2 linked regions of the Arabidopsis thaliana genome follow. The protein of the gene in region 1 purifies or fractionates together with the protein of each later gene. This does not show direct contact. Each region holds a gene or a part of one and is shown on either strand. Other genes may lie near its edges. The genes, in order: PPR336 and AT1G26750.

Evidence for each region.
Region 2: the proteins of PPR336 (region 1) and AT1G26750 fractionate together in Arabidopsis thaliana (co-fractionation; one large-scale study listed by BioGRID). This does not show direct contact.

Annotation. Positions count from the first base shown.
Region 1 is NC_003070.9:22,864,410-22,868,801, reverse strand, and holds PPR336 (pentatricopeptide repeat 336), read left to right. Parts: upstream 1-2,135; 5' UTR 2,136-2,249; coding exon 2,250-3,476; 3' UTR 3,477-3,851; downstream 3,852-4,392. Other genes in the region: AT1G61890 (MATE efflux family protein), read left to right, coding at 1-90, 183-301, 397-483, 634-699; AT1G61860 (Protein kinase superfamily protein), read left to right, coding at 4,183-4,327.
Region 2 is NC_003070.9:9,244,956-9,248,800, reverse strand, and holds AT1G26750 (uncharacterized protein), read right to left. Parts: upstream 1,945-3,845; coding exon 1,850-1,944; intron 1,639-1,849; coding exon 1,516-1,638; exon of another isoform or gene 1,265-1,515; coding exon 1,162-1,264; intron 1,015-1,161; coding exon 748-1,014; 3' UTR 527-747; downstream 1-526. Other genes in the region: SDG35 (SET domain protein 35), read left to right, coding at 1-497; AT1G26740 (Ribosomal L32p protein family), read left to right, coding at 2,246-2,506, 2,917-2,990, 3,452-3,521.

The sequences.
Region 1 (4,392 bases):
ATAGTCCAGCAGTGGCTGAGGCCGTTGCGGATTTATCTCCCTTTTTAGCCATCACAATTGTCCTCAATGGAATTCAGCCTGTTTTGTCCGGTATAAAAAAAACCCCCACATTTCACACAAATCGTTATACATCATTAATAAACGTACTAAAAACTGAAATTAATTTGATGTACAATATTTAGGTGTGGCTGTTGGATGTGGATGGCAAGCATTTGTTGCGTACGTAAACATTGGATGTTACTACGTTGTGGGGATTCCAGTGGGATTCGTTCTTGGCTTCACTTATGATATGGGAGCTAAGGTAAATTTTTTCTCATGTAAATTTGGTTACAATAATTGTACCTTATTAAATAATAATAGCTGTAATATTTAATGTGTGTGTTTGATATGGTGCAGGGAATATGGACTGGGATGATTGGTGGTACTTTAATGCAAACAATAATCTTAGTGATTGTCACTTTACGAACTGATTGGGACAAAGAGGTAAATTATTTTTATTTTTTTAATCTAGGAGCATTTTTAGGTTTATAATGAAAAGTTTTATGCACAAATCTTTGTATGAGTTTTGGTAGATATGATAATGATGGAATTCAATGAATCGTGGTATTAATCTAAATTTATTTTGTAATTTAGGTTGAGAAAGCTTCGAGCAGATTGGACCAGTGGGAAGAGAGCCGTGAGCCGCTTTTGAAGCAATAAATAAATTAATGAAATGATTTGTTTATTTTTATTTTTTTTGGGAGTTTTGAGGTCAGATTGAAATCAAAATTTTTGTTTCCCCGAAATATGGCGATAGATGATCACTTGTAAGATGCATATTCAATTGTTAAACTCTCGTTTTTCAATCGAAAAATGTATATCGCTTTGTTATTTAATGACTTGGAAATTTGAGTTTTTTTTTTGGTTTCTTGGTGTTGTGGGAGTTTTTTTTTTGATGGACATTTGAGATTAGAATATATAGGAGCAAAGTTGAAAGTTTATTTCAGTGTATGATTGTATATGAAAATAAAGAGTGAGTTGTTTCTTCTTACCAACTTCTGTCAGTTTTTAGCTAAAAGTTGAAGAAGAAAGGGTATCTTTTCAACGTCTGATTAATAGGAGTTAGGACCAAATACAATGGCCCAATCACTTCCCTAAATTAAATGAATCCAACCATCGAGAGTTGGAGTTTTAATTAATTCCATAAGTTAAACTGGCAATGGACAATAAAATATGTGGTCCTAACATTACTGAATCTAAGAGGAAAAACCAATCTTACTATGAAAAGAAAACCAATCACAAGCGTATCAAATGCATCAGCTAAACCTTAAGAAAACACCATCTTCCATCTATCTTCTCTGGTGTCGGATCCTGCACAAGACAAAGCTGTGATCATCGCAAAGGGAATAATACTGAGTCATGAACCAAGTATACTTCCATAGGAATTACAATTCTGTTTCTTGCGGTACACGAAACTCTCCCTGTAACCTATCAACATCTCGGCTTCGTCAACGATCGGAAATTTCCAATCAATGGGTCTCCAAGTGCCGCCTTCGCTCTCTCCGTTTATTGCGGGTACTTTGCGATCTTGCGGTCTATTCGTCCCATCCTTGTCTACTCGGAATAAAATAGAACCACTCTCTAAAACTTGAAGAAAGGATGTGGTGTTACGTGTTGAAGAAGCCACAACTCGACTTGGTACAATCTCTTATGGAGCTGTTTTGCCCCTTTTCAACCTTATTTCGAAGATAGTCTCTCACCAGTTGAAAATCGCTTGGATTGAACACTGAACCAATCTGATTAGTCCCCTTATTTCTAGCCTTGGACCGTTGTAAGATCGAGAAATTAAAGTAGAAAAAAGTAGTTTATGGGAAGCGTATGCGTGTGTGACTTATTCATCACCAGATTTGTCACCTCAACCGCAGCAACCATTCGCACCATAATACAATTTATCTTCTGCAATATATATAAGTTAGAGAGACTATTAATTACCGGATCCGTGGCGCAATGGTAGCGCGTCTGACTCCAGATCAGAAGGTTGCGTGTTCGATTCACGTCGGGTTCAATTCCCCGAACAAATCCGGATCTCAACTTTTTTAATTTTCGTTTTCATCTCAACCGTCCATTGTGAAGACTTTTAAAATACCCATCAACGGCTATGATTAGATTTTACACAACACAAAAACCCTAACAATCCCTAATTCTCCAGTCTCCGTCTTCTTCTTCATTTCACAGTCATCTTCTTCATCTAAAACCCTAAGAAAACAACAATGGCGTTACTCTCTCGAATCCGTTCATCAACATCTCTCTTCCGTCACCTCAACGCATCACCACAAATCCGATCACTCTCCTCGGCTTCAACAATCCTCTCACCAGATTCAAAAACTCCTCTCACAAGCAAAGAAAAAAGCAAAGCAGCTCTCTCTCTTCTCAAATCCGAGAAAGATCCAGATCGTATCCTCGAAATCTGCCGTGCAGCTTCTCTTACTCCAGATTGCCGCATAGATCGAATCGCTTTCTCCGCCGCCGTCGAGAATCTCGCCGAGAAGAAACATTTCTCCGCTGTATCGAATCTCCTCGACGGATTCATCGAAAACAGACCAGATCTCAAATCGGAACGTTTTGCTGCTCACGCCATTGTTTTGTATGCTCAAGCTAATATGCTTGATCACTCTTTAAGAGTTTTTCGTGATCTCGAGAAATTCGAAATCTCTCGTACGGTGAAGTCTTTAAACGCGCTTCTCTTTGCTTGTTTAGTAGCTAAGGATTACAAAGAAGCTAAAAGAGTTTACATTGAGATGCCTAAGATGTATGGAATTGAACCTGATCTCGAGACTTATAATCGTATGATCAAAGTGTTTTGTGAATCCGGTTCAGCGAGTTCGTCGTACTCCATTGTTGCGGAGATGGAGAGGAAAGGGATAAAGCCGAATAGTTCAAGCTTTGGTTTGATGATTTCTGGGTTTTATGCAGAGGATAAGAGTGATGAAGTAGGGAAAGTGTTGGCGATGATGAAAGATCGTGGTGTTAATATCGGTGTTTCGACTTATAACATTAGGATTCAGAGTTTGTGTAAGAGGAAGAAATCTAAGGAAGCGAAGGCTTTGCTTGATGGGATGTTATCTGCAGGGATGAAACCGAATACGGTAACGTATAGCCATTTGATTCACGGGTTTTGTAATGAAGATGATTTCGAGGAAGCGAAGAAGTTGTTTAAGATTATGGTGAACAGAGGATGTAAGCCTGATAGTGAGTGTTACTTCACTCTTATATATTACTTATGCAAAGGAGGAGACTTTGAGACGGCTTTGAGTCTTTGTAAAGAGAGTATGGAGAAGAATTGGGTTCCGAGTTTTAGTATCATGAAGTCGCTTGTTAACGGACTAGCTAAGGATTCGAAAGTCGAAGAAGCAAAGGAGCTTATTGGGCAAGTGAAAGAGAAGTTCACTAGAAACGTTGAGTTGTGGAACGAAGTCGAAGCCGCATTACCGCAATGAATCAAAAGATAGTTCCCGAGATCGGTATTTTCAAAATTTTACGAATTTTCTCTCTTCATTTGTCAGCAATGAAATAAGTTTATATCTTCTTAGAAGATAGTAATCTTTTGCTCATCATGGTAGCTATAGATTAATGGTTTATCTTGTTAGTTTTTGGATTTGGAATCAGAGAGATGTTGAGCAGTTTATCTGTAAGATTTGGTCAAAGCATTGTAGCAATGTTAAGTGTCTTCCTATGTTTATATTATATAGTATGATGACTATATAATATAGAAAGAAGTTTAATGTTTACATGCTTACCACGAACTAATGTGTTTTGGAGTAAAGATTTGATTGGAAGTTTGTTAAAAGAGAGAGACGCGTTGGCTTATTCACGAACAGAGAAGAGAACCCTAAAAATAAGAAAAAGAAGAATAATCCTTTTATCCAAATTTGAGAGATGGGAACATTCATATATAACAATAAGAGAGAGCAAAACTTTGTGATCGTCCCCTAAATTCTCGTGTCATGCAACATCATTTTCCTGGGAAAGATCTGATCTTTCTTTCAGATTCGTTTTGCCCAGACAGGGTTTGGATCTGAAAGGATCGGTAAGAGAGACAAGATCGAATCTTTCCTTGGGGGATTCATTACAAAGGATTTGTTTTTGTCTGAAGAATCAAGAACAGAAAAGAAAAAACAAACAGAGGAAGGAAGAAGAAGGAAAATGATGAAGCTTTGTCCTTGTTTCATCAACCCGCATCAGCTTGGACCTAATTCGCCTAGAGATTCATTTGACGAAGGTCTTACAGCTTATAGAGGCCATAGCCGTAAACTTTTTGCACTGTTCACATTTCGCTCACATCGGAAAGGTATTCGTAAACGTTGTCTCTTCTTCATCTAACTCAATCTTCTCAAAGATTTGATCACATATCAT
Region 2 (3,845 bases), about 14 Mb from region 1:
CATTGGAAAAACGGAAAGAGATGGCTGAGTCATGGGGGTTTTGTTGCGGATGCAGTAGATGCAAGTTTGAGAGTGTCTTGTATGCTACCAACCAGGAGGTTAGAGAGTTTGAAATGGGTTTAGAGAGAGGCGTAGATGCAGGGAACGCGGTTTATATGGTGGAGGAAGGGATGAAGAGATGGAAGGTAAAAGGGAAAGATAAAGGGTTGCTGAGAGCATCTTATTGGGGAGTTTATGATGAGATTTATAACTCAGAGAGACTTATGAAAAGGTGGGGAAGGAAGATACCAACAATGGAAGTTGTGGTGGATAGTGTCTCTGATGTTGTTGGAAGTGATGAGAGATTGATGAAGATGGCTGTGGAAGGGATGATGAAGAAGCATGGAGGTTTCAGTAACATTGTGGAGATGGAGAAAATCATGAAGCTAGGGAAGGGGGTTTATGGCAAAGTGGTATCGAAAAAGAAGGCAATGAAGACTCTTCTTGGCATAGAGTAACAAGTTACAAATGTTGAAACTAATTGCTTGTAGGATCAATAGAGAGAGTAACCATTTTGGTTTTCTGTAATTCCTTGCCTCATGGAAGGAAACATCCAATGATATTATTACAAAGACATTCAAATGGAAATAACACTTGTTTTGTTGCAAAACATTTGTAGTCAAAGAATGTCATATATGAAAAAAGCCAGTTCTACAAAGAAATTGGATGAGTAGTGTGCATAAAAAGAAAACGATGATTTTGAGTAATTTATTCGTCGATCCAATTATCCTGATTAGCACTTCCTCCGGTTCTGTCTTGCAGCAACACATCTTTCTCATTTTTCAACTGGTTAACTAGCCTGCGGACGCTAGGAGTCTGGAAGCGATCCTTAGCGGATGTCTTCGATTGAGTTATTAACCCTTTCTTGGCACTAGGATACGGTTTAGGAGGTGGATCCTTATCTTGCATTACCGCAAGCTCCTTTAAGCGTTTGTATGCTTTCTTCATTTCCTTTCTCTCTGAAAGATATTCCATCTGAAAAATCATCAAAACACAAACTCAGCAAGTTCGAAGAATAACATCTCCCATGTTCAAAGAAACGGCATCAACAGCAGCGGTACTACGATTCATATCTATTCAAGTATCGTAGCTAATCATAGACTGTGAAAAGAAAATACGTACATTAGCTACAGACATGGCGTCACCCTCACTGATGCCATGCTCCTTCAATTCAAGTACCCGGCAACCATACACACGTGCTTGATCTGGAATAAATGCTGATATCCTAGGTAATTGAAGATGATGCAATGAGAGGGAGATAGATACAGAATGAAAAATGGTGAAACTCTCCCATTGAATCAGAATTTAAGAGTGACACGTGCTTATAGTAATGGGTTCAAGACAAAATTGTTTGAAATTAAACTTCTTTCTATAGTGATGCATATCAGAATAAGCTTTATGAAGAACTAACTCATAACATAATCATCAAACTATCTTTGATACAAATGCAGAGATATAAAAAGTTGAGAATTTTACTTGGCAGGGTCATCAATTTTGGTTCCAGGATGCTTATTAGCGAATTTACGAACGTAAGGATCCTCAGGGAGAACAATCTTCTGGATTTTTCCATTGGAGCGAGGAAACACAGGAGGTGGTGATCTGCCATTAAAACCAAATCACAGAACACTCATTTCAACAAAACCCTCAAAATCCTAATTCACAGATGCCAAAATCTCAACTTTTTGTGCGATTAGAATTCAATTGCATCCGAATTAGAAACCCATTAACGGATGATTCAATAAGGAAGTATCAAATTGATCAATCGAGCCAAATCATTTGGAGAAATAGAAATGGGAGAAGAGAGGGTTACGCTTCCATGGCTTTAAGCCAAACAGGCTCTCGTGTAGCTAAGCCACCAACAAGCCTCCTGGTTTTGGAAAGTAAATCACCTTTCATCCACGACATTGTTGCTGAGCTTCTTCACTTTTCTTCTTCGCTTGATCTGTTATTGTTTTACCAGAGACGACGAAGACACAAGGGTTTCAGAAATGGCTCGATTTGATAAAACCTCATGGTTCATGAATTAAACCGGGTACATCACACTCTAAATTACGGTCTAAAATCGGTTAACAGAGCAATTGTATGGTTCGTATGTCAAAACGCAGCCGTTTCGTAAATACATTTGCCTTGATAAATTTTCACCTCTTTTGGGTTTCTTCTACTAGTCTTCACTTCCGTCAGCTATAGCTTTGGAGAAACTGCATCAATGGCGTTGAGATTGACATCGCTAAAACGCGCCGCGGTTGAGTCCTGTCGCATTTTGGAAACCCGAAGCTTAAGTCATGTCGCTGCGATGCCTTCCCCCTTGAACGGAGCTTTTGATCGCCCGATTTCTATGCCGCCGCTGGTTTTACCTGAGTTCGATCAGAATCAACCGGGTTTGATCGAAGAAAAGAGCTTCGGGTTCGGGCTTCCTAGTTTTGCTTTTAATGGATCCATGGAGCTAATGGCTGTGCCTAAGAAGAAGGTCAAAGAACTCTCAGTCCCTTAATTAGTTTTCTCCTTTCGTTTTCCACTTCTGAAATGATAAAATTTCTTAGGGTTTTGATTTATTGTGGTATCTAGGGTTAGCTTTTTTGACGGAGTCAGGGTTTATCTAGGGTTTTAGGAAGGTGCACTATAGGACTTATTAGTTGATTATGCAATTGAGATACTAAGTGCTAGATTGCTTCTTCTATAGAATCTATCTAAGAAATGTTGTCTCTTTGTGTGTTTTTGAGTGTCCATTGTTTTTCCATTTGCTTGTGTATCTTTGGGTTTAAGTTGATTTGGTTCCTTACTTCCTTTAGGTTCACATGTGAATGAAAATGTGTAATTTTTAATGGCTCCTTGGAGAATGATAGTGTTAATTGAAGCTGTTCTTGATGAAACATGCAGATTTCTAAACACAAGAGAGGGATAAGAAATGGTCCAAAGGCTCTTAAGCCTGTTCCTGTGATCATCCGTTGCAGGTAAGAGATTAGCTTCTCTTCTTTTTCTTTTTTTTTTTGTCCGCAGATTAGCTTCTCTTCTTGTTTTATCTGTTTGATGCTTCTTAATATATCCATTAGGTTGAGTTTGGTATGGGTGTTTAGTTTTGAGGCTGTGATAGAAAAATTCTGTTAGGTTTATCTAGGTTGTTGTTGCTGCAGCAACAGCTGAAGAATAAATGCATATGCTTTGTGATTCATTGTCTCTCCTAACTATCACTTGGTATAAACTGCACTTGAGTAACTAGAACTGTGTATCGTTAACATGTTTGACGAAAGACCTACTTGTGTGCAACATGGTACAAAATATGAGTCTAGTTGTTCGGTTTTGGTATATGTTTGATTTAAAACTTCTTTTGTTTTCATGATCTCATTGTGAGGGCACTTGTATCAGAATTTTATATATGCCGCCAGTTTAAGTGCACACTCTTTTGTGTTTCCAGGAGTTGCGGGCGAGTCAAGCTGCCACATTTCTTCTGTTGCAGCGGTGAGCGGCTAAACCCTACTGAGTAAGGCAATTCGAACAACTGGTCATGGTTTCCAATATGATTACTCCTTGTTGGATATCAAGAGGATAAAATCTTGGCTTTCTTAGTAGTACACTAGAATGATAAAAGACTTAGTTGATGCTGTTTTGGCAAATTATTGTATGCTGCAAGATCAATATTCTCATGCTTCTCTTGACAAATTATGTTATTGTCATTGCTTGTTGCAAAGTGTAGGATTATCTCATTCACTTTTATTTGTGCTCTTAGATTTGGATTCAACAGCTAAATATATTCGAAATGGATAAATATATTCACGTGAAACCATCTATACAAGCTTTTGAAGCTCTCG